Ovis aries: one gene and its partners. The protein of the gene in region 3 purifies or fractionates together with the protein of the main gene of each other region. This does not show direct contact. Links are inferred from orthologs where the notes say so. Each region holds a gene or a part of one and is shown on either strand. Other genes may lie near its edges. The genes, in order: CNOT1, TNKS1BP1 and CNOT6.

Region 1 (9,911 bases), on a different chromosome or scaffold from region 3:
GGCTTCCTCAGAGAGGAAAAATGTGTGAAAAGACAGACATGGAGGTCAACTGTAGCTGAAGTAAACTTAGGGAGGGAGAGAGTAAGTTGGCGGGGGGAAGGTGGAATATATGAGAAGATACAGGGCAGGGCTAATGATGAAAGGACTTTCTTTGGCTTTTACTAAAGACAAATGGAGAATCAATGAACAGTTTGAACAGAAGACACAACCTTAGTTTTAAAAATATAAGAATCACTCTATGGACTCTGTGGGAGAGGGAGAGGGTGGGATGATTTGGGAGAATGGCATTGAAACATGTATACTATCATGTAAGAAACAATACAGGATGCTGGGGGCTGGTGCACTGGGATGACCCAGAGAGATGATATGGGGTGGGAGGGGGTTCAGGACTGGGAACTCATGTACACCTGTGGCGGATTTATGTCAGTGTATGGCAAAACCAATACAGTATTGTAAAGTAAAATAAAAATAAATAAATAAATAAAATAAAAATGTAAGAATCACTCTAGATGAGAATAAACCATAGGGGAGCCAAGGGTAGAAAGCAAAGTAGATAATAGCACATTAAGAGAATTAGTGACTGAAACCCAAACACAGAAGAACTCTAAAAAGCTATACACATATCCCAAAACTAGGTTAGTATACTAAAGCAATTTATCATACCAACATTTTGTAGTTGCCAGTCCTTGAGGGCTTAGTGATTGGAGAAGACAAAAATCAAATACTTTCAAGGAATTTTTAAAGTTTACCTTTGACAATCTCAACTTCTGTAACATCTAGCATAACTGTCTGAAAAGGGAAGAGGATTATTCCTAAAATACTCATGCCATAATGACTATACATGGTATCCATATCTCTTCATTACCTAAAGAACAAAGAGCACCAGCATGAGTAATTCAAATTGTGGACACCCCCAAACTGTGTATTCCCAGGCTTAGAAAGGTTTAGTGTAAAACTTTTTCTTAGAACCCACCTGGCAAGGAATAAGGAAATATTCAAGGGCATAAGAGTCGACAGGTAATAAATTGGTTTGAAATGAAAGCTCTGCCAAGGATAAAAACAAATTGATCAAGAGTTGACTTACTTCAAATATGCTAATTTTACTCAAGGCAATGGAATCTTAATACTAACTTGAAAAACATTTTAATAGCCTTGTGTGGATAGCTTCACAATTTTATTTATTTTATGGCCATGCAGCACATGGGATTTTAGTTTCCCAACCAGAGACTGAACCAGCTCTCCCTGAAGTAGAAGCGTAAAGTCTCAACCACTGGACCACCAGGAAAGTCTCTTCACACTTTTAAGAGACTACAATCCATACATCAGCATACTTTATAAACAATTGTTCAGTTCAGTGTTAGCAACTAACAATTTATAAAAAGTGAAAAGAGCTCAAAAAGCATGCTTACTCCAAAATCAGAAAAGAATCAGTTCTTGATCTGAAATCAAATATTCAGAAGCATCTTCCCAGTAACATGTGCAAAATTACAAAGCTATGCCATGTATTTAAGACTGCTAAAAAATAAGAGAACTCTTCTTAGAGCTATGCCTTAAAACTAACTACACCAAGAGAAAACTTACTCAAATGTCTCACAACTCCATTTACAGTGAAGAACATTTTAAAATTTAAGTAAAAAAAGGAAATTTTTTAAAGCCACTCATCCTCTGAAGGCCTCAAAAGAAATAAATACAAGTTTATTACACTGAAGTTCAGTAATGCCCACTTTCAATAACTGTAACAGAAAAGACTATCTTTTCTGTCATACTTGAGTTTTATATTTTTTCACACTGAAGAGATGAAAAACTCAAATTTTGTATCTTGTCCTCCAAAAATAAGTGGTTGATCATAGATTATCCTCACCTTTTTGATGAACGATCAAAGTTTTCCTTGTACTTTAGTAGTATGGCAAGACAGAACCAACAGTGGGCTAGAGTAAGAAAATCTGGTCTAACACTAATCTAAGGAAGTCACTTCAATTTCCTGGGCTTCAATTTTCTAAACATACCATTAATTCTGTATGACTAGATTTCAAAGTTTAACTTTCTAAAAGATGTCAACTGAATTTTAAGTATATATAGCTCGAAGAGAAACAGCCTGTGCCCTCAAAGAACAAAAACCAGGGTATATGGTTTTCCAAGAACGCCATGTTCAATAAATCTACCCAAGTGTAACAAATGGAAGCACTATTCAATTACAACTCAGGACAACTGTATGTGTTTGGAGGATGAGAGACTCCTTACCTACTACAAAGTAGGATAGAAAACTTACAAATCAATATATGGTACAGGTAAGTGAATCTAGCCAAGAGGAAGAAGAAATTAATTTTGCTTAGGGAAATCAGGGAAAAGATTATAGACAGTACATGTGGATATGAATTGGAATGGTAGTGTTTTGGTAACTACAGATGACACTCCAGATAATAGGGGCAAAAATGCATTTGGGAACCACTCTGCAACAACCTTTTAACTACGCCGTAAGTTAGTAACATGTTGCTATGAGTACAGAGGGGTCAATACTTACACAGTGATAGGTCAAAGTACTGAAAAACTTGAGTACAGAATGCCTAGATTCAAACCAATGACTTGGTAGACAATTTGTCTTTAATATAAAAAACTAACTGCATTCCTGGAATCATTTACATTTACAACATTTTCATGTATTATTTATGTAATAAAGAAATCCAATAAACAAAAAACACTGGAGATCAGTTAGAAAGCTAATGCAAAAAAGACAGGGTCTGAAACAAAGAAGTAACTATTCTGATTATGAGTTCACAAAAAAATTAACAGTACCGCTGCATTTCAAACCTAAGAGCTCTAAATCCAAGGTGACAAACTTTCAAACTAATTATCTAAAAGGGGAAGTGTTGAGCTCTTAATAGGAAGCTTAAGAGCAATAAAATGGTATCTTTCAAATAATGCTTTCACTTTACATTTCATATAATTAGTCCAACACCACAAAACAAAAACAAAAAAACCCACAACAACAAAACCTACACCTCCACTGCAGACACTTTAACATCTCTTTCAACATTCTAATTTAGCCTAGAGGTAGAAATGCATTTTTTTTTCCAGAAATGCATTTCTCAAACCTATACTCCATACTCCCAAAGGCTGTATTTCCTTCAAATCTTAACACAGGATTTCAAATTAAGTCTACACTTCTACTGACTTCTCAAACGAGTTTTTCAACGAATAATTTGTTTTATTTGCTTTGCTACGTTCCCGCAAATACATGAATGAAAAGTACCTTAAAATTAACTATTGTGTACATAAAAGGATGAAGGATTTGAGCCCATTTTAGCTTTGAAATATGCTTCTTAAACATTGTGAGCAAATAGGAAAGGAACTGCATGATCTTTCTTTATATAAGGTCTTAAAATAAGACTCAGTAGGATGCCATTTTGAAACTTCCCCACAGGAAGTTCAGTTTGGAAAGAGGGCCAGTTAAATGCTTCAACCAATATTTTTTTAATGACTTACAAGTTAGTTTTGCTTTCTTACCAAAAAAAAAACCAAACACCAAGTTTATGACTGGTACTGCTGCTGCTGCTAAGTCACTTCAGTCGTGTCCAACTCTGTGTGACCCCACAGATAGCAGCCCACCAGCCCCCCACCCCGACCCGGGATTCTCCAGGCAAGAACGCTGGAGTGAGTTGCCATTTCCTTCTCCAATGCATGGAAATGAAAAGTCAAAGTGAAGTCGCTCAGTTGTGTCCAACTCTTAGCGACCCACAGACTACAGCCCACCAGGCTCCTCCATCCACGGGATTCTCTAGGCAAGAGTACTGAAGTGGGGTGCCACTGCCTTCTCCAAATTTTGACAATTCAAGAATCATAAACATCTTACCAAAAATAAGTGTCTTGAAAAATCTGGGCATCCAATTTAAATTACTGTAGGTAAATTCTCTTCCATAGTATTGAGTAACAAAGATTTGTTACACAGTAGAATGAAATAAAGATTCAAGTTCATAAATTCATAAACTTAAGTTGGTTAAAAAGAAACTTCTCGTAACTAGATCAGGAGCTAACCAAAAATATACTTGGAAAAAGGAACATTCAAGCAAATTTGATATTAGTCTTTAAGCATACTGTCAAGAAATAAGCATTTCCTCTTCTGTTTTTTTTTTTTTAATGACTTAACCCAAAGTTAGGAGGACATTACGGTACTTAGCCTGACAAGATCCATATTAAAGAGACCAGTACTTAAAACCCCAGCAGAAATCTAAGAGACTGTATTTCTCTCTGGCTAAGCCAGAGATCCATTTGAGTTAGGAACCAAAAGCATTTCAGTTGTTCCACAATAATGCCAGAAAAAGGTGCCTTAAAACTGCTAAGATTACAATCTTAGGCAAGAAGAGGGTAAGACGTTGTTACTGATGGTCAAATCTCTGCCTTGTTTCCACGGAAGGAATTGGGACCCTTCACTTGTTGAAAAGGGACCAACTCTCCAAACAAGTATTATCATGCGACCATTTCAAAGCACAACTAGATGCCTACAACGTTATGTATCATCAGCTCATTTTCTCCTTAGACAAGGTAACAATTTGGAATGTCCTAAAACAGGATAATTTAAACTGTTACCAAATATCTTATTAAGAGCTAAAATACTACACTGCCAAATCTCTGGAAGGACAGATATGACAACCTGAGGATATTAAGCCCAAATACTTCTACATAAACAAGTTTGTTCTTAATCTGTTTGACCTACTTCCTGATTTTGTATTTGTCCAATCATTTTTCCATCCGTGTATCCCTACTCCTATCAAACGGACTGTCACGAGGTAAACACTCAGAATTTTCTCCGCAAAAAGTAACCAACTATGCTCACTCAGTTATTAACTGTTAAACTCCCCAAGGCAACTGAATTACAGAGAAATAAAAAGAGAGACTAAGAGTTAATACTCTCAGGAAAAAAAACTTTTAAGAGTCCTAAAATATGTGATGTTTGAGTGACTTCAAAGGGAAAAGCTTCCTGCTCAAAGTTTATTTTAAACACATCTCCAAACCCACAGACATCAAGCATTAAAGTTTAATCCTAGGAAGGGTACTCATCTGTGGGAACCCACTTGGGTGAAATCTGCAGAGGGGGTGGGACTGAAAAAGAACATTTGTGCTTTTGGCCTTATGTAACCCCCTGGAGACCCATAGTATCTCTCACGGAGGCCTCCCAAATGCTCGGCTCACTACGAGAGCTCTTCTCCTGGGCGAGTAGCACCACTACTACAGAACAGACACTGAGCCAGGTGGGTGGGGGCCGACTCTGGAGACTGAGTGAGCGCCCGGGCGCGCGAGTGGAACAAAACCTGTGGCAAGAAGTAATGAGGAAGTGCTCGCTCCCGCCCGCCCCTCCCACCGGCGGACACCCGAAACACCCGGGGTTTGACAACGTGCTGGGGGCGGGGGAGGGGGACTGGCAGCTCCAGGTCCACCGAGAGGAACCCGGAGTCGGCAACTACTCCGAACACGGGCACCTCGCCCCCCCCGCCTCCCCGGAGCTAGGCCTCCGAGGCCGATGCCCGCAGCACCCATCCGGCAGTTGAGAAGCTCGTGGAGTCTGCGAAGGGTGCAGTCCGCGCGAAGCGAGGGCCCAGCCGCCCCCAAGTGCCGCCAACACCGCCCTCAGAGCCGCCAGGCCCGGGCAAGGGGGGGCCAATCCCGGGTCTCATTCCGCGCTCTGCCCTCGGTTTCCTAGAGCTTTCACCAAGCCCTCTTCTCTCCAGAGGCCGAAGACTCCGCGGGCCGAGGGGAGACAGTCCGCCCTCTCCCGCCTCGCCACTTCCCCGTCCCGACTGCCCCTCACACCTCGGAGCCCCGGGAAACGCTCCCAGTGGCCCCGGGACCACCCCCGTTCCTTCCCGCACCGGCACCCAAGTTCCGTAGCTGACACCGCCTGTCGGCCTCGGCACCCGACCCCAGCCCACCACACCTCAAGCGGCTCCGACGGCGCTGGACACAGGAAACTCCTGGGTCCCCGACTCCGGTTCTCCTAGACCCCCTCTTCGGTTAACTCCGCTTGTTTCTCTACAAAATGGCGCCGGAGGTCGCGCGCTCACGTCGCGGCCTTTCCCCTCCCCGTTCCTATTTCATCATTTGCTGCCCGCCCGAGAAGGGATGGACCCAGCACCAGCCAATGAGCGCACCCCGCCTGTGGCTCCCGCCCAATCATCGACAGGTGCCCGCGGATTTAAACCAATCACACACTATCACTTGCAGAAGTCAAGGAAGAAACCAGGCTCCTGCTAGCAACTACCAATCCAGACTCCTACTTCGCGGGCTTTGGCCAATTGCCGTTCACCAGTCCCCAGGGACTGGAGTCGGAGCCCTCGCGCCTGCGCTCGAGGCGAGGGCCAATGGGGAGAAGCAGATAACTTCGATTTGGGGCTTCATGGACTTCCCACCTGCCCTCGAGATCCTCGACCAATGGGGGTCTGGCAAAGCCTCTGAGAAACACTAAATAAAGGAGGGGGCCCTTAAGCCTTCTCCACCTTGCGCGGGAACTATTATGAGTTAGAGTGAAAAACAGCCTTCCAGTACTCTCCTTTCTCTTTCGAAGTGTCAAGTGTCCGGTAGACCACGGGGATTCCCAATCTTAAACACTCCCGTCCTGCCCCGCGTCTCTTTGGCGGGGAACGCCGGTTACCAGAAAACTACAAGCAAGCGAGGCTCTAACTAGCGCTCTGGCGCTTTGCATCCTGGGATGTGTAGTCCTCCCCCTCCGCCCATCCCTGTCGCAAAAGTAGTGCGAGTTCCTCCCTCATTTACGACGCCCCAGGAAGAGCAATGCATTCTGGAGAACGTAGTCCCATTTGGTCCTCTCATGCTCCGGTCAGGAGAACTTTCCTGTCTAGTTCTGCCTCTGGAAGAAGGCACTCCCTACGGAGAAATAGGAAACTCTCGGGTTCTTTGTTTGGCTTAGTCCCTGTTAGTGGTAGCAGAAGGAATACTTATGCCCTTTGCTGTCGGGAGAAAAAAATGTAGAAACATCTTTTTTAAGATTTTGTGGTTAAAAAAAGATTTTGTGGTCACCTGTATCCAGCGAAGTGAGGGAGGAGAGTGAAGAAGTTGGCTTAAAGCTCAACATTCAGAAAACGAAGATCATGGCATCTGGTCCCATCGCTTCATGGGAAATCGATGGGGAAACAGTGGAAACAGTGTCAGACTTTATCTTTTTTGGGCTCCAAAATCACTGCAGATGGTGATTGCAACCATGAAATTAAAAGACGCTTACTCCTTGAAAGAAAAGTTATGACCAACCTAGATAGCATATTCAAAAGCAGAGACATTACTTTGCCAACAAAGGTCCGTCTAGTCAAGGCTATGGTTTTTCCAGTGGTCCTGTATGGATGTGAGAGTTGGACTGTGAAGAAAGCTGAGCGCCCAAGAATTGATGCTTTTGAACTGTGGTGTTGGTGAAGACTCGTGAGAGTCCCTTGGACTGCAAGGAGATCCAACCAGTCCATTCTAAAGGAGATCAGCCCTGGGTGTTCTTTGGAAGGAATGATGCTAAAGCTGAAACTCCAATACTTTGGCCACTTCATGTGAAGAGTTAACTCATTGGAAAAGACTCTGATACTGGAAGGGATTGGGGGCAGGAGAAGGAGGCCTGGCGTGCTGCGATTCATGGGGTCGCAAACAGTCGGACACGACTGAGCGACTGAGCGACTGAACTGAACTGAACAGGTAGACTCATGCATAATTTGTCTTTTTGTGACTGACTGATCTCTCTAACCTCCTAAAAATACTTTTTGACACCTGCCTTCATTGAACGCCAACTCTTCCAGCAAACTTTAACTGAGTATCTGGTGGTTTCAAATACGTGTAGGATACCCAAGGACCCCATGTACAATAAGCGGAAGGGTTACTTCAGTCTTGTTCATAGCTGTATCCCAGCACCTAGCACAGTGCCTGGCACTTGACAGACACGTGAGAAAATAAATGTTGAAAAATCATGCGATGGAGAATTGGATTTAAAACATTATAATGTTAGTGATAGAAGATTCCTTAAACAGACCAGTGAGTGAGTGAAGTCTCTCAGTCGTGTCTGACTCTTTGTAACCCCAGGGACTGTAGCCCACCAGGTTCCTCCATCCATGGAATTTTCTAGGCAAGAGTACTAGAGTGGGTTGCCATTTCCTTCTCCAGGGGATCTTTCCAACCCAGGGATCGAAACCCGGTCTCCTGCATTGTGGGCAGACGCTTTACTGTCTGAGCCACCAGGGAATCAAGGATGAGAATATAAGTCCTTCCTATACCTTGTTGTATAAAATTGCTGAAACCTCAACGGATAGCAGAATTTTAGCCAGATTTATCAAAACTGAAAATGCATAGACCCATTGATCCAATATCTAAGAATTTACTCCACAGGTGAATATTGCAAATTTGTACAGAGATGGATATTTAAAGATATTAATTGATGGGGTTAATTAGGTCCTAAAAGATTGGACACAATAGAAAAGAAGATGAATAAGAGTATGGAATACCGCAAAGTTTTTTAAAACTATAAGTCTGTAGGTACTAATATGGAATGATTCGAAGATTTATTGTTAATCGTTAGGTGCAGAATAAGAAAAACAAAACCAAAAACGGATGGCATAATCAGTATGTTACCATTTGTGTAGGAGAAAGGAACTATATTTGTATTTACCTGTAAATAAGTGTATTAAAAGATTTGAAAAGATAACGCCATTTCCCCCAACTGACATAACTGGTTATCCCTGGGTAGGAAGTGGAATGAGGAAGGGTAATGGGAGCTTTTGCTTTTTGTTTTATTTTCAGTCAGTCAGTTCAGTGGCTCAGTCCTGTCTGACTCTTTGCAATCCTATGGACTGTAGCATGCCATGCTTCCCTGTCCATCACCAACTCCCAGGGCCTACTCAAACTCATGTCCATCGCGTCGGTGATGCCATCCAACCATCTCATCCTCTGTCGTCCCCTTCTTCGCCCGCCTTCAATTTTTCCCAGCATCGGGGTCTTTCCCAATGAGTCGGTTCTCTGTATCAGGTGCCCAAAGTATTAGAGTTTCAGCTTGAAAATCAGTCTTTCCAATGAATATTCAGGACTGATTTCCTTTAGGATTGACTGGTTGGATCTCCTTGCAGTCCAAGGGACTCTCAAGAGTCTTTTCCAACACCACAGTTCAAAAGCATCAATTCTTCAGCACTCAGCTTTCTTTATAGTCCAACTCTCACACCCATACATGACCACTGGAAAAACCATAGCTTTGACAAGATTGACCTTTGTTTTGTTTTATTACCATAGATTCGAACTTTTGAAAATAGGATGTATTCATGTTTCATTTGTATAATTTAAAATATATTTTTTAAAAAAGATACCTGTAGAGGTCAGCTATCTAAGATCAATGCTGTAATTCTACAACTAGAATTGTCGTTGGTCTTAGACATAAATCTCCTAAAGTAAAGTAAGTTGAATGAAATAAAGCTAAGTTGCCTTTCCCCACTTCAGCTTATCTTTACCCTAAGGCTGCTCTGGGAGACCCTTCTGTCCACTGCCAACCCCTCCCTCCCACCCCCAAACTCGCAGCCCCAGCTACACCAACACTACTCCTAGGATTTGACTTGTTTTGGGGACTTAGCCTAGTACCTGCAAGGACTCCCACATAAATAGCTTGGAGATCAAAGGTCTTCAACTGTGTGTTATCATGAATTCTGAGTGGCTTCTATACTCACTAGAAAGGAGAGAGATGCATAGAATGTTTTCCAGTTGGAAGGGTTAGTGGAGATCACCTGGTATACTTTTTTCATTTTATTGAAAGACATAGTTGGAAGTCATGCCCAGACAAAGTAGTTTACTAGAGACCTTCACAAAGAATTGAATCACCTTGTAACTCAGCAATTATGTGTTCTGGGGTTCAAACATAATTAGAAACATGATATTTTTACCAGCTGTTA
Region 2 (9,811 bases), on a different chromosome or scaffold from region 3:
AGGTTCATGGGTCAGGAACACTGGCTTTGTGCGCTTTCCTGGTGGTCCAGGGGCTAAGATTCCACACTCCCAATGAGGGGGGTCCCGGGTTCGATCCCTGGCCAGGGAACTATATCCCAAGTGTGGAAACTAAAAGTCTGCATGTCATCACTGTAGATCGCGCGAGCTAGAGTGAAGATCAAAGATCCCGTGGGACCCAGTGCCGCTGAGTATGTAAACAAATAAAATATGTGTTTTTACAACTGGCTTTGTAAAGGAAAGGCAAAAGGAAGCTAGAGAGTCTGGCTGGCTGGGTGCGTGGCCTCAGGGTGGGACTCCACCAGGCCCAGGGCAGCTTCAGACCAGCTCCTGGGAGCAGCTCGCACCCTTGCTCTGAGCATCCACGTTCCCAGCGCTGCCCGGGGGACAGCGGGACCCGGGATTCAGGCCAGAAGCCCCAGGGACCGTGAAAGCGCTGGGAGACACCAGCACCTCCCCTGTCGGCGGGATGCCTTCCCACGCGGGGTCTCTCCGAGCCCCAGCGTCCCCACCTGCAACCCAGGGCCAGGGCAACAATGTCCACCTCGTGGTCAGGAGAGGATTCAGCAAGATCTGCGCACCAGGCCGCTGTGAACAGCACCGGGGAAGAACGGACACCCTGGGGCCCTGGGACCCCCAGCATTTGACCCCCCTTCACCCCTGCATGCCGCGACCTGAGTCTCGTTCTATCTGACCTCTGCTCTCCCCAGAGGTCAGGCCCCCCACCTTCTCCCATGGAGGGCTGTCTGCCCACCACCACCTGACCCCTGGGCCTGGGCAGGGGGGCATCCTGTTTCCGCGTCAAGGCCACCCTCCGATCCTTCCAGCCCGCGCAGACGAGTCCCAGGTTAACTTAGAGCCTGTGCCCTTAAACCACGCCCCCCAGGAACCCTCCTCCAAGAGCCCAGGACAGACCCCTCCGCCCTCAGAGCAGAGCTCCTGGACCACAGCCGCTCTCCCAAGCGCTGCCCCTGGTAAAGAGCTCACAGCGGTTCCTGAAGCCCCACAACTGACCCATCCAGCATCCTGGCTCCGCTCCCTGACCTCCTCTTCCCGACTTCCCCAGAGCCCACCTCTCTGAGGGTCCACCCTAGACCTCGTCCTCAGCCAGAGCCCCTCCGGAGCGTCAGGTCTAGGGGACCTGCTGGCCTGTGTCCACCCCCGTCCATCCAGCACCCTCTCTCCCTCCCCTCCGCCTGTCTCCTCCCTTCTCCCCGTCCCACTCCCCTCTCTCCTCCACCATTGTGTGAACTCCCTGTATTCCCCTCCCCAACTCCAGTTTAACCTAATGCAATACAGCTCTGCCCCAGCTCCAGACTGCACCAGAGCAGCTGGAGATAGCCGCCGCTGGGATGGTGGGTTCCCTGCAGCCGCAGCCGCAGCCGCCCCGGGCTCAGCCAGAACGCCCAGCAATCTCACGACATCCCCCTTCCATGCACCCCCACCTCCCAGCGACGCTTTCCCATCCAGTCTGTCCTCAAACCTCTGCACCTCTGCCCAGGCTTTCCGGGCTGAGGGCCTTGCTCTCCCTCCCCGAGGACTCAGAGACCCCCACCCGGGCGCCCCACTCCTGAGCCGTCCCTGCTCAGAGCTCAGGCCAAGCCCTCCTCTCTGTGTCCAGCATCACAGATTTTTTTCCTTCTCTACTGGACCGTTTCCATCCGCACACAAACTGCCCTCATTTCTTCTGGCTTAAAGAACACACACATGCTGCTGTCCAGCCCTCCCATCTCTCCAGCTGCACCCCTTTCCTTAAACCCGGCCTCTGCATTCAGCACCTCTAACCTCAGCGCCTTGGGCCCGGCCTCCGCTGAGCCCCCTCCAAATGGGCTCCCTTCTTCACTTCCACCACCCTGCCGCTCCAGCCAAGTTCAGCCACGACCCCCCATGCAACCCCCCATTCTCAGGGCGCCCCTTCCTTGCCCCGCAGGCACCACCTGATCGCTGACCGCCCGCCCTAGTCCCTCCTCCAGCCTGGGCAGCTCCTGTGCTCCACGCCAGCAGGGTTCCCTCCTAACCTCTGCTCCTTCCTGCATCTCCTGGGCTCCTCTGCCAGGCCTCGTCTCCCTCCCACGCCTCACCCATGCCCTCGGGGACCCCAGCCGACTCCAGGGCCATCTGCACACCGACAAGTCCCTGCAGCTCCGGACTCAAAACGCCCCACTGACCCCCTCGGACCCCGTGGGATGAGGCGTCTCCAGCTCAACAGATCCAGAAGCAAGCTCCTCCGGTCTTCCCAACATTACGAAGGCCCCCTTCTCCGTGAAGGGTAACCTCCCGACCACTTGGGCCATAGACCCCCAGCGGCACGCTTCACTCTCCGTTCACTCCCCCAGATCAGCCTTGCCTGCAAGTCCCGTCCACTCCACCTTCACATCAGAGGCCCCACCCACCCACCGTCTCCCCCAGGGACTGCCTCCAGGATCCACAGCACTGTCGTCTCTCACCAGGGTGACCCCCAGAACCCCCCGACTGGCCCCTGCTGCTGCCCCTGGCCAAGATCTTGGGCAGGGAGACTCCTTGCAACGGCAGCAAGGTCACGCCTCTCCTCCCGCCCCTCAGTGGCCTCCTTCCCTCCTGCAAGCCAGCACTCCCCGCCCCGAGTGGCCCATCACCACCCAGTCTGTGACCCAGACACCCCAGCTTCCTCGCTGGGTGGAGCCCACGTCCTTTGTAGCTGCAGCTCCCTCTGCCAAAAAGGCTGTTCCCCAAACATCCAAGAGCTCACCCCATGCCCCACTTCCTGGCAAGGACTTCCCGTCACCCTCGCCCCGGGACCCATGCAGGCGGGGTCCCAGGTGCCTGTCTGATGCTCTGCACGTCTGCCGGGTCACAGGGCGCCCAGTGTTGGAGTCTGCCTCCCCGCGTTAGAAGGCGCGTTCCTCGGGGAGCAAGGGCTTCCCTCGTGGCTCAGACAGTAAAGAATCTGCCTACAAGGCAGAAGACCTGGGTTCGATCCTTGGGTCAGGAAGCCCCCTGAGAGAAGGGAACGGCTACCCGCTCCGATATGCCTGCCCAGAGAACTCTGTGGACGGAACAGCCTGGTGGGCTACAGTCCACGGGGTCACAAAGAGTCGGACAAGAGTGAGGGATGGACACACGCTTTCCTGGAAGCAGGGGGACTGTGGACGCTTTGCTTGTGGCTGTCTCCCCGGCACCAGGATCACAGTGGATGCTCGATAAATACGTTTGGACAAATGCACACTCTCAGGTCTCTCCCCCTGCTGGACGGGACAGCCTCCAGCTAGCAAGGGCTCTGGGAGCAAAACAGACCACCCTTCGCATCATCTACTCGGGAACGCAGACTGTCCACCCCCGAGCACACCATGGGCAGAGGGGCTGTAACAGAAGACCCCCGTGAAACATCACTTCCCCTCTTCTGCGAGAGGGCAGGCCTGGCCAGGGACCGTGCTGGACTCGGATCCTGCCTTCAGCCCCTGGGCAAGCTATTTGGCACCTCAAGCCCCGGCGTCCGCACCTCTCGCATGGGACCTGAGGGGCCTATTCAGTCAGAGTTATGACCGGGTTACGTCAGTCAACATCCCCGAGGTTGCCCAGCAGACAGTAGGCTGTCCAGGGCAGTCATCCTGGACACTGTAGGAGCCTCAGGGCCTCAGCCACACTTAGCCAGGGTGGCCTGGAAGTTGAGAAATCTGAGTCCTGACGCAAGTCACGTAAACATCCTCCACAGCCTCTGTTTCCCCAGCTAAACTGAGGGAGGCGGGAGAGAGGCACAAACGAGGCCCTTCCAGCTCAGAGACTGCGTCATAGCAGGTAGGGAACTCACGTCAGTCACGGGCTCAGAGATCGCCGGCTGGGCCAGGTCCCCGTTGAAGGCCAGGTCCGAGGGGCACTTCCTGTGAGGGAGAAAGAGGAGAGACGGAGGCACGGATCACGCAGGTGGAGAAGGAAGGGGTGATCAGGGGTCTGCCTGATGACCGGGACAGAACCTGACGTGCACCCCGCCAGGGGCACGTCCTCCCAGGGGACAAAAACTCTGGCGGCTCCGAGAGAGAGCACCCCAGGGCCAGCGCATGTGCCCCACCTGCATGTCAGGAGGTAAGCCCCCCCAACCCCTCTGGGAAAAGCCCGCGCAGGCCCAGAGCCCTTGGGGCTCCTGGTAAGACCACCAAACCCCAGAGCCCTTGAGGGGTTAGGGTTCTCCGGGCCAGGGCAGCTGGCCCCTCCCCAGCCAACGCTTCCGGAGAACTGCAGGGGGAGGGAGACCACCAGAGGAATTTTGCAAGGTCGAGGTTGCTCCTTTCAAGCCAGGCTGGGAGCAAAGGAGGGGAAAGAGGGCGGAACCCAGCCTGAACAGAGCAGGCCTCCAGGGAGCCCAGGGGGACAGGAGGCCTCGGGTGTCCATATTCCCAGGAGAGGCTGGCGGGCACCACAGGCGAGACTCTGGGCCTCCAGCTCGGCTCAGACCACGGCAGGGCCTTCTCCGCAGCAGGAGCGGGGTCAGCGGGGCCAGAGAGCTGCGGGGCCTGGGGGGCAACGAGCCCAAGCTGGTGCTCCCTGCCCTGAGGATGCTCCAGGCAGCTGGGACCCTCAGCCTCCTCCCCGGGGCCCAGGGACACATCCAGGTCAGGAGCCCCCAGGACACGCTGGCACGGGCTCTGGGAAAGGGGATGCTGCCCGCAATGGTCTCCAACCCAGCTGTGTGGCCCGCATGCTCACATCCACTGGCCTGGCGTCAAGGGGTGTTCACGGCTTTCCTCTCCTGTCAGACTCCTCTTCACGGCCAGGCTGTGCCACACACACACACACACACACACACACACACACACACACACACTCCAGCAGACACACACACAGATACATACCCCAGCACAGATACACACAGACACAAAGACACACACACACACCCAGCACCTGGCACACCGTTGCACCCACAGGGCGGGCCAGCAGTTAAGAGCACACACTGGAATCAGAGAGGCCCTAATTCTAACCCCAGCTCTGTCTGTCACTTGCTAAGGGACCAGGGGAAGTCACTTTTGAGCCTCAGTTTCCTCATCTCTAAAATGGGCCTAATACTGCCTTTACTACACAGGATAGCTGTGGATTAAGTGAGGCAGAGTTTGGCTCCCCATATTAAAAAAGCACTGAAAATAAACTTCCAAGCTATACATCTGAATTCTCCTACGGACTCTGTGCAGAGGACGACTGCAGAATGAAGCACACACTCACTCAGTCTGCGGAAGGGGGCGGGGCGGGGAGGGCGGTGGGTGGTCCGTGACTGTCACGGGTTGACCCGCACGCACGCGCCGTGCAGCACAGCTAACCTCCAAGGGAAGATCACCATCTCACAGGAGACTACCCACCCTGTCCTCCAGGCTGGCCGCAACCAGACACACAGCCCCCCACCCCTCACCTCTGCTCGGGGGTCTCGCTGGGCTCCTCGGGGCAGTCGGCAGGAGACCCCGCGGGCCCCTCCTGGGACCATTCCTTGGAGAGGGTCCCAGCATCATCCCTGGGGCCTGGGGCCATGCCGTAGCTCCTGGGACCGTATCTGGAGCTGCCGTCGTGATTGAAGGTGAGGCGGGAGCCCCAGAGGCGGTCGGGGCTGGCCGGGCCCTCTTTCCTGGGCTGGTCCATCTTGGCCAGGATCTCCTCCACCGTGGGCGCGGCGAAGCGCTCCGGGGCTGGGCGGAAGGGGAGGGGCGCCTTGCGCACACCCCCAGGGGCGGCGCATCGGGCCGGAGGGGTCAAGGGGGGCGTCTCTTCTTTCCCAGGCTCCTCTTTCCCAGGCTCCCGGGTGCCTTCTCCCCCAGCCAGGGCTTCCGCCGCAGGCCTTGGCGCAAACGGAAGGGGCCGCTTATTGCCGCCGTAGGGCTGGGGTCCCGCCAGCATGTTCATCTTCCGGGCAGAAGGCAATTCGGCCAGAGGACCCCGGGGAGGCCGAGGCCCAATGGGCACCAGCAGGCTGGGCTTCGCAGGCAGGGCTGGCTTGCCAGGCAGGGCTCGGGGTTTGGGCTTGACAGGGGGTTTGGCCCGATGGTCACCTACCAAAAGGAAAAGGCTGGTTGAGCCGATGTCAGAAGAACAGGAAGCAGAACTTCACCTCCCACCCTATGTACTCAGAATGTTCCCACACCCTTCCATGTACAAATCAAATGTCACCGCTTCCATGAAGGCTTCCTGGATTTTCCAGACACATCCCAGAAACATCTTCCCTCATCTCCAAATTCCTGAAATGTCTAGCCAGTCACCCTTAAAAGTGAAAAGCCATTTAAGGCCCCAGCTGGCAGCTATTTCTCACTGTACCCACTCTTACCAAGTGAATGGCCAGACGACCAAATGGGTTAATAAATGAATGCCTGCCTGCCCACGCCAGGCAGTCGGCCCTCCATCTCCCCCAGTCTGGTCCTTCCCTAGAGCATGCCATTCTGCTAAACTACATCCACAGCAAACTCGTTCTCCCAGCTCAGCTTCCCTACCCTGCCACCCTGCTGGCCCCCTCCTCAGGGGCACACCCAGGCCACCTCCCCGCCACCATCCACTGTGAGACCAGGAAGGCAATCTCACTATTGACCTAAGCCAAACAAAAAGAAATCTGCTACAGAAGGAAAAAAAAGACCAGAAACATACCTTCTATATAAGGCATTTCAATGCCAAATAAAAGACCTTGAATTACTCATGGCCACAGCCCTGCTAATAGGATCCTTTATCACCCACTCATTCCACTCGGCGCAAGAAAGGTGTCTAGACAGGGAGCCAGGAGGCCTGGGTCCAAGCCCAAAGATGCATGCCCTCCCCGCCCCCACACCCAGGCCTCAGTTTCCTCCTCTGTCAAACAGGTGGTTTGATCCACACCCTCTCCAAGGTTAGCGTGCTCTCTGCTGGAGAGCTGTGATCCGCAGTTCCGAAGGGTCTCCACCGGAGCAGAGGGCTCCTCCCGCTGGTCCTCAGGACTCCTCCCTCCCTCCCCAACAGAGTCAGCCTTCACCCACCAGCCCCCAAGACCGAATGGGGGTTCGGGCCTCTGGCCCCCTTCCCAGCCAGCCCGCTCCACCCCGCACCTACAGGTACCTGGCTCAGAGCCAGCGGACACCAGCTCCTCGTCCGGCTGGCGGGGCGCGGGGGAGGCCATGGCTGCGCCTTCCCTGGGAGCAGACTCTTGCATCACATGCGGCAGACCTGGGAGTCGGGGGCAGAGCGGTGTGGGCTGGGGGCGGCGGAAGACCCAGGAAGAAAGGAGGGAGAGCGGAGAGAGGGCCAGAGAGCTGTGCGCTGGCAGCGCGCCGTCTCTGACTTCTGGCGGAGGCCAGTGCGGGACAGGAAGCGGGCGCTTCAGGAGGGGCGCTGGGGGAGGTCACGGGAGGTCCCCGGCGGCCACGTCCTCCTCTCTGGCCGCTCCCCCCCCCCCCCCCCCCCGACCCTGCGACAGCTCTCCAAGTCCGTCTCCTAACCCTAAAGTCCTGCAGGTCCGACGAGCCGCCCCCTGCTCCCTCCTCCAGCCAGCTGTCCAGGGCACTCCACTTACCATTCCCAAGGCACCCCCCACACACACACTCCTTGGGTCCGGGAACCCCGCTCGAAGGATCAACTCAGGGCCGGGGCAAGAGGGCTGCCAAGTCTGAAGTCTCCGGGTGAATCACCTCGCGGGAGACGGGAAAAACCCGCTCCTCCCCAACCTGGGCCCCGCCCCGACACCCGCCTGCCCCGCGGGCCTCCCCTTCCCGCTCCCTGGCCTGCCGCTGGGAGTGGTTCCCTCCCTGCCCCCCGAGTCCCCCTCCTCCCTCCACGTCCCTGCCCCGACTCCCGCCTCCTCCAGAGCCGTCTCATCCAAACACGGAAAAATAAGGAATAAAAAGTAAACATCTGGAATACATTTTTTTTCCCTTTAATTTCTCAATCGCTTTGGCTTCGGCTTGGAATTTGATGAGGTAAAGTCAGGGCCTAGTCCTGTTGCCATAGCAATGGCCTCCCACTGGATTTCCAGAGCCTCGCCAAGAGGAAGGAGGAGCCGGCCCAGGCCCGGGGCTGGGAGAATGAGACCTGGCTCGAGAACATCCGGGGGGCGGGGTGGCTTGGGGGAAAAACTCCCTAGGGCTCCCCTCCTGGGCTCGTCACCGTGGGAGGGTCCACAGCTGACCAGAAGGAGCTACCTGGGCATCACTCACCAGCCTGGGCCTGACCCGAGGGGTTTCGAGGGAGACTGCGGAAGATATTTTAACCCACATGACAGAAGCCTATGGCCGAGAGCAAACGGGTGCCCCTCCTCTCGGCCTGTAACTGGAGCTCCGGGTCTGCTCCACCAGGATTCAAATGCTGGGTGGGTCTCCTGCCTTCCAGCTCTGTGACCTCAGGCACCTTCCTCACTGCTCTAAACCTGTTTCCCTGTATGAAGAACACGCTGAGACTTAACACACTCGTTAAGACTCCAAACTTCCACCGCACACTGCAGGCGGCACCAGTTCGATCCCTGGTTGGGGTACTGAGGTCCCACATGCTGGGAGGTGTGGCCAAAACTAAAAAAAAAAAAAAAAAAGGCTCACATGAGACGATCCGTGCAGCTGCCGACCTCAGTGGCCAGCACCCAGTAAGTGGCCATTAAACGGTGGCTCCTATTAGGAGGCTTCCCTTGGAAACCATCTCGTCCTCTCCCCCAACCACAGGCTGCCAGCACTGCGGACCACGCCTGGTCTCCCGAAGAACCCAGTCTTGTCACCTGTTCTCAGACACTCCACCACTTCCTCAGGTCCCATCCTGGGTCCTGAAGCGCCATCCCACCCACAAGAGGCCCCTGGACTGACCACTGCCCCTGCCTCCTTGATAGAGCCCCCGGCCCTCTGTTCCAAAGGAAAAGCGATGTTTCCTATCACCTGGCATGCATGGGGTCCCTGAGGACAACCCAACCCTCTCCAACCTGCAGGGGCCCTGCCTTGCCCAAAGTCACCCACTCCAGCTGGTCTGGCAAGATAGCAACAGATCCAAAGAAGGGACCTCAGGTGCCCAACTTCCGGGAAAACCTCTCACTTCTGACCCTGCCCCAGCTTGTTCCCCAGATAGGAGGGACTAGACAGGAGGAAAAGAGACATCCAGGCCCGTGCAAGTCCGGTCAGCCAAGTCCGGTGCAGCAGGCGCGCTGTGGGTGGGTGAGTAACATTCACAGCCGGCCCGAGTGTGCGTGGAGGAGGGGCACGCGGCAGAAAACATAAAATTCAAAAAAAAAACGCAAGGCTGTTTCCTTGTCCTTGAACGTTATTACCAGGGATACATGGTGTGGGTGGTTAGGAATGGAGACCAGCTGGTCCAGAACCGAAAACCCTTTCACCTGGAGGCTCAGCCGGGCAGGGAGCTGTAGCACCCAAGAGGGAGGGCTCACTCCCCCAACTGAGGACGGGGTCTCAGCAGCTCAGACGCCCAGCGGGAAACCCGGGTGACCAGGGCCGGAGGGCAGAGCTGTGAAAATCTCAGCGGCTCTGAGCATCCCCCACGCGTTAAGAGTCCAGAGACCGGCTGGACCCTTAGGGCACAGGGGAGACACCAGGCGGCTCCTGCCCCGAGGCGGAGGCCCAAAGAAGCCTCGCCGCAGGCAGGGCCGCCTCCGCCGACCCTGAGATCTCCCTCCGGCCGGAGCCGGAGAGAACACTGCCGCAGGAGGGAGGGCCAACCGCGAGACGGGAGAGCCCGGGGCGAGGGGCCGTCTGGAAGGGCCCGGCGGGGAGCTCCAGGCACAGGGGGCAGCGGCCGCCGGGGGGAGGGGACGGCGGGCTGGAGGAGGGGGCGGCGAAGGCCCCGCGCGCGGGATGGGGCGCCGCCGGCGGACGGACGGACCGGGGCCCAG
Region 3 (9,811 bases):
AAACAGCCATTGTATCTTAGTATGCTGGTTCCAAATTAAAATATTTTGTAGACAATAACAAATACAGATGAAAATATTTTGTGTAAAGCTCAAACCTTTAGCATCTAACAAGTGCACTCTAGTTCCAGCATCTATGAAAAGAATACATCCTCCATTAAAAACAGAGTAAGTGCTTCTCCCCTTCTTCCATAAAGCTCAAGCAGTTTCCTTCATCTCATCAGTCCAACCAGCTCCAGCTTGCCTTTGCTGGAAACTGTCATGATGCACACTACCAACACAGTGTTTAGGAAAAATGAGTAAACATCTTTTATTCACACTTTACAAAAACCAAAAACCCAAAAAGAAACCCTAAAGAAAGCTATGCATTGGTTCTATATCAATAATACCAGCTTTCCAATGTACTGATTATAAACCAGATGTGTTTGGTGTCAGCACAACGTAAAACAAAAGGCAAAAAATAAAAAACTATCACAACAAAATCTTAAAAAAAAAAGAAAGAAAAAGCAAACCTCAAAGGAAAAACCAGGTCCCAGACAAAGATTCAAGATCAAAACCTTTTGTAGAATTTTTTTTTAAAGGAAAAAAAAAAGAATCTTTTACTTAAACAGTGTGTAATTTTATTTTCTCTTAGAATAAGCACATTTAAGTGCTGAACATTTTTCATAAAATTTTAAGTCATTATCCAAAATGACTCATTCTCTGTATAAAAACTGTTATTAACAATCAACAATTTCTCTTCTTAATGCTCACTGGATACATGGTGTCCTTTTGCTTCCCTGCCTGCAGCTGAAACAAAAGCAGTTAGACCAAGTTCCCTCTGAATTCATTTGTTTTTTGAGAGAATGAATGAATGAGAACAGAACATATAGGAGTTCACTTTGCAAAGTTAAAGCTGGCTTTAATCTCTATCCTACTAATGGCACTACAGGCAAAATACAAGGTATAATATCTTTTATCTTGGTTGACATATTAAAATGACTTGGTCACTTTAAAAATGATCTGAAGTATTGTCTTAGGGACCTGTTTTGAAAATACATCTCATTTATTTTATACTGCTTCATAAACGGAAAATCACTTTTTTTCTTTTTTTAAAAAAAGGGAATGATTTTTTAAAAACATGGAAACTAAGGAATACATGGAAAACAAAAAGAATTCACATGATAGTAGTACTCTGGGTGATGAACAGCACTGTGCAATGACGCCAAAAAGCAGTGCTTGGGTCTGGCAAACAAAGACCCAGGGATCCCCACCCTATGAACACGTTCCAAAATGTGATATTCAATGCTTCACAATGGAAAAAACCCACAGCTCATACAAAAGGATTTTCATAAAACTCTCACAAATGTTAAACAGTATTTAAAAAATACAAAAGAGGATGCACAGATTTTCTCTGCATGCACAGGCAGTGCTTGGTGGGAACAAATTCAGGCAGGCACAGTGGAGATAGGACAAGAAGTGTCTCGAAAAGGAGTTAAGAAGCTGTACCTAAGCAGCCATAATTTTTTAACTTAAAAAAGTTAAGGATTTAAAAATATCAGAATGTACATACATCAACCATTACACATTCAGTCCATAAATGCCTTCGGATCATTCACTACTCAGATTATCTGTCCTGGTAAATAGTTTTTTGCAAAAATCCAGGAATTCATAGGTAAGTTGTCTCTAGTCCAAGCAAATGTCCTAAACTTTAAACAGAGTTAAATTTAATGTTTTCCATTTAAAAACAAAGTAGTACAAAAGGGCTAACAAAACCCTAACAGTGCAAATCATCAGCAGAGAAAGTCTGTTGCAACTTCTTTTACAAGCTTTATAACACATGAAACAGGTAAAAAAAACCTTAGCCTTAGATTACAATACAATCATTTCCAAATCTGATTTTTTTAGTACAAAATTTCATAAATCAGGTCTTCTGTGGATCATATACAATCATAAAGGCTAAATTCAAATTCTATATTTTACAAACAAGTCTGAAAAAGGAGGGAGTAAAGTACGGAAGAATGATCTCTGGATGTTATTACTGGCCTCAAAAAAGTAGTGCTACAGATTTCTGTGCAAAGAGAATATGCTGTTCAGTTTCCTATTTCAAGGCATGAAAATATTATATTGGATAGAAGAAACAGGAAAATTATTTGCAACAAATTAAAGATAGGTGCAAACACACCAATCCCTGTCTAACAGTATATAAAGCATACTGGGCTCAGAATTTGTTTGCTAGCACCTGGCTTTCATACTATATCCTTATCAAATGATCAGACTGAAAACTCAAATCATCATTAAGAAAAAACAAACCAACAAATCTTAGTGGCCATACCTCACTCCCCTATATTCAGAATTTTTACAAGTTTATGAGTAAAACTGAGGTCATCCTCTGAAGGTACTTGACTACCTCCTGCCAGGAAGGTGAATGCCATTAACCTGGGGCAGGAAAGGCAGTAAGAGCTCCAGTTGTGCAAAAAGTGAGAAGTGGTCAGAGGGGATGAGTGGGTGTGGGCAGCCGCTGATATTGTTCTCAACTAGCCAGTGGTGGTCCAGAGGTCCCAGAATGCCTAAAGTGTTCAGCTGAGGTTTAGAATAGAAGATGTAGTCAATTATACCCTGAAAAACAGAAGGCAAAAAGAAAAATAAGAAAATGACACATAAAATGACACTGAAATACTGAGAACTTTCAAGACATATCCTCAGTCGTGTTTGGTAAACAAAGAAATTTACTAGGCTGCAGAAAAGGGCAGTTATTACATAGATCAAATAACAACCCCAAACTGAGAATGAAGAAACCTTAGGGATGGTAATCCTTCTTCCTCCTATGTAGATCGTTTCAAAATCTTTAACGAGACCTAAAGAATCCTTCACGATACAGCCTCTGCTTCTTTTTCCTAACTTAACTTGTGACACTTTTCCTTGCTCACTACTCCACTGCCATACTAGCCCTTTTTGGGAAGCAGGGTGTGAACTGAGGTGCGTCTCCTGTAGGTGAGAAGCTCCGTCCTCCTCCAGGGCCGGCACACGTGTCTGCAACACTTTCTTCTACTTGTCACCTGACTAAATCCCTCTTAACCTTCAAGTGCCAAGTTTAATTACCTTCCCAAGGCCTTCTGGAATCCTACCCTTATCCACTTAAAGCTACCACCTGATTTTTTCCCTTGCTAATGTACACCCTTAAGTGCAACTATATACTCATTTGTGCGGCTGAAATCTATGTTCCCACCAGACTATGATGTCACAAAGGCCAAGCACATCTCTGCCTTTTACACCTTCAACAGCACTCAGGCACAGCATCTGGCACACAGCTAGGATACTCTTAGTTTGCTCCTCTCTGTCCAGTAACTGTAACAGTCTGTCCTTTACATGCTCTTGGCCAAAAGTATTTAAGCACATTCTAAATTCTTCCTAATTTTCTACCAGTAACAGTAGTCAGAAGGCAAACACCTCTAATCTCTCCCATCTTGTGGTTATCATCCTCCCCTCTTCTGCCATCAACCTCCTTGAAACGAAAATCTGTAGCTGGTTTTTTCACTCATTGCTCAGTTACTCTTCAACTCATTGTATTCTAGTTTCTCTGAACACCTCTACAGACAACTCTGAGCAAATCTTTCTGAAGCTTAACACTCACTCCTCTTTCCCTAGAAAGGCTTTCCTTCCTTGGCATTTAAGTTCCTTATACTGTCATGGTTTTCCACCTCTTTGATTACTATCATCATTTACATGTTAGTTTTGCCCAGTCTACTCTAGTCTCTCTTTAACTATACATACTCATCTCTGCCCAGTGTTAAATCATTATCTACGGTTCTATAGATCCTCGAAAGTCAAATAAAAAAATTTTTTAGTTTTCAAAAGTTTCTCAAAGGAGTCTAAATAACCCTCCCCTCTAAAATTAAGCAACAGTTAACACAAGTATTTGCACTATTCTAATAGACAATCTAACCTGAATGACTATTTTTTCAGCAGGTTAGAAATGGAAAACTAGGATTTAAGAGAGCAAAAATGCAAAAGATGGCAAAAAAGGACAATTGAACACAAGTCCTAAACAACCACAGATAATAAAAATGAGGAGAATTACTAGGAAAAAAACTCCACATTGTAATAATCCATTAATTGTATAAGAAGGCATATAAACAATATGTGTATTAGAAAATTTACAACAGCTAACAGTAAACTACATTTTGGTTCCCAAATAGTACAGTTTCAGTTAAACTGAAAGAGAAGAAACGGAACATCAAACTAACATCAAATAAAATACAATGGTCCTGCATATCCAGCTGTTAGTAATGAGCCCATTAAAAAAAAAAAAAAAAAAAAGCTCTAAAGAGATGACAGATAACTCAGGATTTAATATCATTATTTCATCTGATCTCTAACCTTAGAAATGATTCTAATAATATCTATAAAGTAGGGGTGGAATTCTAATCACATGGAATTCTACATAAGAATACTGCTGTCAGCTAATTTGAGATGGCTTAATTCCATTCTGAGTGTTAACATTTAAAGCCATCACAAAATTATAAAATGCTCTTGAAAAAAAAAATGGAGTTTTAAATGTTTCTTCATCTCAAAACTCACCTTAAAATCAAATGTGTAGTTGGTGTAAGGCATCAGGCCACTCTCATAGGCACTCTTTAACTTGAAGCCATGAGTGATCCTTCCATTGGTTGTCCCATTTTTCCCATTACAGCTGAAGTTCGTAAGACTTTCATTGTATCTCAGTTCCTTAAAGTCTTTATGATTTGTTTCTACTTCACCAGTGCTCAAATATTCTACAACACCTATAAAGAATATAAATGTACTTTCTGCATTGTTAAGTATAATATACAATGTGTAATACGTAACTAAACAGGTAATTCAAGAGTAAAGTTTTAAATCACACATATTCTCACTTTTTAAAATGTTTCACTATTTTCCACCTTTGCCAAAACTTGTATAAACACATTTTTTCCATGGTTTTAATCACAGTGAATATTTTACACTTTACCACATGAACTTATGTCATCTCAATTATTTTTTTTTAATAATTGTGTAACACAACAGGGCTGACATATAGTATTTGTTAAACCATTTCCCTATTTCTTAAAGTTCACGTTATTCCTTTTTTTTTTTTTTTAATTAACACCACAATCAACATCTTAGTATGTAGGCTTCTGCTCAGGGTCAGCATGAAATACCAACATTAGGATTCATTGTGCGTATGAATACATGAATTATGAAAGAATGACAGAGCCATCTCACCATCTCTGGACACTATTTTTCCAGTGTGCTAAGCATAAGGTGGGGCTTCCCTTGTGGCTCTGATGGTAAAAAAATCCATCTGCAATGTGGGAGACCTGAGTTCAATCCCTGGGTTCCGAAGATACCCTGGAGGAGAGTGTGGCAACCCACTCCAGTATTCTTGCCTGAAGAATCCCATGGACAGAGGAGCCTGGACAGATACAGTCCATGGGATCACAGAGTCAGACATGACAGAAGTGACTTAGCACACACACAGGCATAAGGTGGGCTCTGCAAATATTTAACTTTCATTTAATCACTTACCAAAACTAGACATTTTTCCATGTGTTTTGTTATTACAATGCAACATAGAAATGAGTCTTAAGATCTGTATCATGCGACAAGAGTCTCTCTTTGCCCCTCACATATTTTGTAGCTAAAGAGGATGAAAAGCAAATAAAGAACTTTCCAGTAATCCCCAGATGGCTTTGATGAGACAGACTAAAGAATTATGGATCTTAGGCACCTTTATCTCCCCCCAAAACAGATTTTAACATAAATTCTGTTTCATTATCTTTTCTTTCATCTATTGTGACAGCAGCAATATGCTACTGAATTTAACTACTCCAAGTGTGTGTGTGTGTGAATGCATGCATTCAGGCATGCAAGTAAGTTCAAGGGAAAGTTCTCTTGAGTATCCAAGAAAGTACGGTTGTTACTCACTGTACTATCTATGGAAAAGTTTAAGATTAAGGCTTTCTGTATCCTTCCACTCTGTGACTAAATATCAACATTCTTGATCCTTTTTTTGTTAAAACCACTGTCTGACCTGTGTAAACAGAAAAATCTCAAATTCCAACTGAGGTGCACAATGTTTCTAATCGAGTCTACCAAAATTTGAGGCTGGGTGATATACGGTCAAATTTAAACTGGATTAGATTACCACATGCTGGAATCCCAGAGTCTGTCTTAGTAACCTTTTCAGAGTCTGCAATACATAGAACATGGGGATAATAATATATGCCCATGTGTTTTCTGAAGATGATTAACATCTGGATAATATCCAGAGGATAATACCATTACCATTTACTATTTCATTTTATAATGAAGTGGTAATAATACCATTTCATTTTCAAAATGGTCTCCCTACTCCACACACACAAAAGATTTTTAACCTGATTGATAGCGGCCACTATAAACTGAATTTTCATTTTGACTAGATTTGGAATTATCAGAAACAACACATTACAAAAACATTTTAAGTCAGCAAGTGTTCTATGTAAGATAGCATTGTTTTGTTTACCAGAGTCCGGCAAAGAATTAAGATCTGCACATAACACTAGTGGAATAGTTCCAAATTCTCCTAATACATTGGACTGGAGACTTCTCGAGGCTTTATCAATAATATTCTTCACTTCTGAGAGGAACATCATCGTTTGAACCAACTTCACATCGGAGTATTCAGGGTCCCAGTGCATATGAGCATTAGCCACGAGAATAAGCTGCTTTTCTGTTCCAAGATGTGGCTTTCCAGCTATATCAGATAAAAAGAAAAGAAACAAAGCCCATATATTCTCACATGGTCTGAAAGCAAGTAATATCTCAGAGTCCCGGGAATTTAAAAAAAATGCTAAAATCTGGTTGAAAATCTCCCATCTAAAAACTGATCTACCCTCTGCAACAAACCTGAGAAACAGACATCTGGCCTCTGGGATGAGGACTTCCAGCACAGGGTATTCACTCTTTGAACAGAGAGCCCATACTATTTGGGACAGCTTGGTTTTTAAATAGTTCCAGCTCCTTAAAACTTCTGATTTTCTAGATGTCCTAAACTGAGCATCACAAAATTAAACGGACATCCTTTTTCTTAAAAAAACATTTTAAAAAGTCACTAAGTTCCATCTTCCATCTTTTCTATCCCTCAGATTATATATCCCCATTTCCAGCTGCTCCTCAGGTGAAAGAAGTCTCAGTTCTTACCATGATGATCACTCTCTAAATATACATTTAATCTGAAATAGGTGGTCCATTTCTCCAAGACTTAAGACCTTTAAAATAATGACTAAAAGCAGGTCAGGGAGAGAAGTCAACACAGAAATATCCTTGTTGCCAAGAAATTGTATTACGTGTACAGAATTCTTCTCTCTGAGCAGTTATTTTAACTAATATTTACTTCAGTATTTTATGTGACAAATTCTCGAGCAGAAAAAACCTTGTGTATGCCTTTTAAGATTTGAAATACTTTTCTAGGCAATGCTTCCTCTTCTTGAGCTTTGCGGTAGAGAAAACTGGATGAGATTTTAGAAAAGATTTAAATTCTGAATTTCTTCAGGCATTAGACAAGAGTATTACTATGAAACATTTTGTGTCGTCTATTCCATTTTGGAGGCCAGATTTTATAGGAAGTGAAAAGGTCACTCACATGATACTTCAATCAGTTCCTTTCGAAGCTCTAGCAGTACAGCCACTCCTATGTTATCTTTCGTCATGACTCTGTTCAGCATGGCTTCAGACCCTTCTGAATTTGCCATTGCTAGTTGATTAAATTCAACAGTGTGTTTCTGAACCAAAGTAAATCTAAAACAAAACACACACAAATATAAAATTGGGGATACCAAGACATCCATTTTGTGGTAAATGCAATTTCCCCCCAACTTCCTTAACAGACATGATGACATGTAAATTACATTACAGAAAATCCTCCACACTTAGCACTAAGCTTCCCGTGTCCATTTCAGTTGCTCTCAGTCTGCCACAGATACAAATAACATCTTGAGAAACTTTTACAACTTAAGATAATACAGTCATCTTAAGACAATACAGTCATCTTCTATTTAGGTTTCATGCTGGAATATTCCATCTTACAATTTTAAAATAATTTTCTTCCAAAGTATGGGCTTAAGAATCTCTCTACCATCCCAGAGGGAATGCAATTACAAAGTGTTTCAATTAACAACTGGAGTTAAACCCTAGAAGACACCTGAAAAAACAGCAGAACTTTCAACATGTCTTCCAAAAACATTTTTTCTGATGAATCAAAACACCCTTTAAATCATAGTACTGTTTTCTTGAGAAATAAAATGTGCCTCATTCTCTTAGCTGCCAACTAATTTCCATTCCCTTGACCCTCATCCTGCAAATTCAGAGAATATTTTCTTTTCAAGAGTAAGATGACTGGGGAATTCCCTGGTGGTCCAGTAGTTAGGACTCTGACTTCCACTGCAGGGAAACAGGTTTGATCACTGGTCAGGGAACTAAGATCCCCACATGGCATGGACCCCCCAAGAAAAAGAAGAAAGAAAGAAGATGACTTACTTTTCTGTTTTAAAAAATATTGCACAGCCATCAACATGTTTTCTTTCTTGCTCTGACATTGTCCTAGCTCTAGATTTAGGACTAAAGAATCCATTATAGCCACGTTCTTTCAGTTCTACCAGAAAAAAACTGTAATACTGTTCTGTTTCAACTTCCTGAAAAATTGTAAACAGCAGTTATTTCATAAGACAAAAACCAGTCCTATGCACTATCTTTATATGTACAGTTTGAGACCTTAAAATAAATTCAAAGGACTGATCTGAAGAATGAAGAATTACATCTTTTCAATGTAATTTATCTGAAATCAGTCACAACACCTACTTGTCATTTTACAGGTACCTGTTAATAAAGTACCTCTTTGCTGTTTAGGAGTAAAGAATGGAAAGCCATATACCCCTATGCATATGTATTTCCTTATATTTTATATTTCCTGATATATATATTTCCTTATATTAAAACTGGTATAAACAAAAATCAGAACAGGAGAAGGAACTCCACAGATCAAGTTTCAGACCACAAGGAGAAAGTCACTTGCCAAAGGTCATGTAAGTTATTATGAGGGTTGGACTGAGAACCCAGTTACTGTCTACCAGATTCAATGTTCTTTCCACTTGGCCCTAATTATTCAATTACCACTGGTAGTAAAGCAAAATTATACCTTGACAGTGCCACCCGATTAAAAATAGTGTGGAAGGACATAAAGGAGGAGCAGGTAAACATTTAGCTGTAATAGCAATCACCTAAACACCCAGCGTAACCCATTTGCTTAATTTGGCAGCACAATGCTAAAAGCACAGGATGCGGCGAATGTTCCCAGAATTCAGTCAATACAGGAAAAGTCTGTATTTTAAGAACTGCGAAAGCCAGGACTTCAAATGTGTTAATGTAATGCATACTCAAGCTACTCCTTGCTTGATCAAGGGGCATTTCTGCAATTTAAACAAGGATTCTTCTGATGACTTACCTGAAGACTTATGATATCAGCATTGCAACTCAAGATTTCTTGAATAATGGCCTTTTTCCTGTAGTCCCAATTTAGTGCCCATGATGGACAGTAGCCATATAACTGCCGGGTCGCATATTTATCACAAAGAACATTATAGCACATGACAGAAAACAAGGCTGTAGGAAAGATAACTTTACTTATTCACACACGTGGCAGAAAAAGAAAATTAATTTTGTTTCACTTAAAACTAAGTTTGACTTTATTCATTCAATAATATCCTCACAGAAAAGCTACCATATGCCAGACATGGCATAAGTCAGATAATAAAGGAAGAACAGATATATGAACAAA

Evidence for each region.
Region 1: the proteins of CNOT6 (region 3) and CNOT1 purify together in Homo sapiens (affinity purification with mass spectrometry; 5 studies listed by BioGRID and IntAct, with this or other methods). This does not show direct contact. The link is inferred for Ovis aries from reciprocal best matches to the Homo sapiens genes CNOT6 and CNOT1.
Region 2: the proteins of CNOT6 (region 3) and TNKS1BP1 purify together in Homo sapiens (affinity purification with mass spectrometry; 3 studies listed by BioGRID and IntAct, with this or other methods). This does not show direct contact. The link is inferred for Ovis aries from reciprocal best matches to the Homo sapiens genes CNOT6 and TNKS1BP1.

What each region holds. Positions count from the first base shown.
Region 1 is NC_056067.1:25,970,602-25,980,512, forward strand, and holds the start of CNOT1 (CCR4-NOT transcription complex subunit 1), read right to left. Parts: upstream 6,029-9,911; 5' UTR 5,930-6,028; intron 1-5,929.
Region 2 is NC_056068.1:79,346,905-79,356,715, forward strand, and holds part of TNKS1BP1 (182 kDa tankyrase-1-binding protein), read right to left. Parts: coding exon of another isoform or gene 9,496-9,811; intron 9,120-9,495; coding exon of another isoform or gene 8,897-9,119; intron 8,564-8,896; coding exon of another isoform or gene 8,520-8,563; intron 8,493-8,519; 5' UTR 8,145-8,492; intron 7,600-8,144; exon of another isoform or gene 7,505-7,599; intron 7,159-7,504; 5' UTR 7,145-7,158; coding exon 7,051-7,144; intron 6,024-7,050; coding exon 5,393-6,023; intron 3,876-5,392; coding exon 3,806-3,875; intron 1-3,805. Other genes in the region: collagen alpha-1(I) chain-like, read left to right, coding at 8,520-8,563, 8,897-9,119, 9,496-9,811.
Region 3 is NC_056058.1:421,303-431,113, forward strand, and holds part of CNOT6 (CCR4-NOT transcription complex subunit 6), read right to left. Parts: intron 9,637-9,811; coding exon 9,479-9,636; intron 8,670-9,478; coding exon 8,515-8,669; intron 7,777-8,514; coding exon 7,622-7,776; intron 6,734-7,621; coding exon 6,503-6,733; intron 4,761-6,502; coding exon 4,558-4,760; intron 2,596-4,557; coding exon 2,383-2,595; 3' UTR 1-2,382. UniProt on the Homo sapiens protein: Poly(A) nuclease with 3'-5' RNase activity.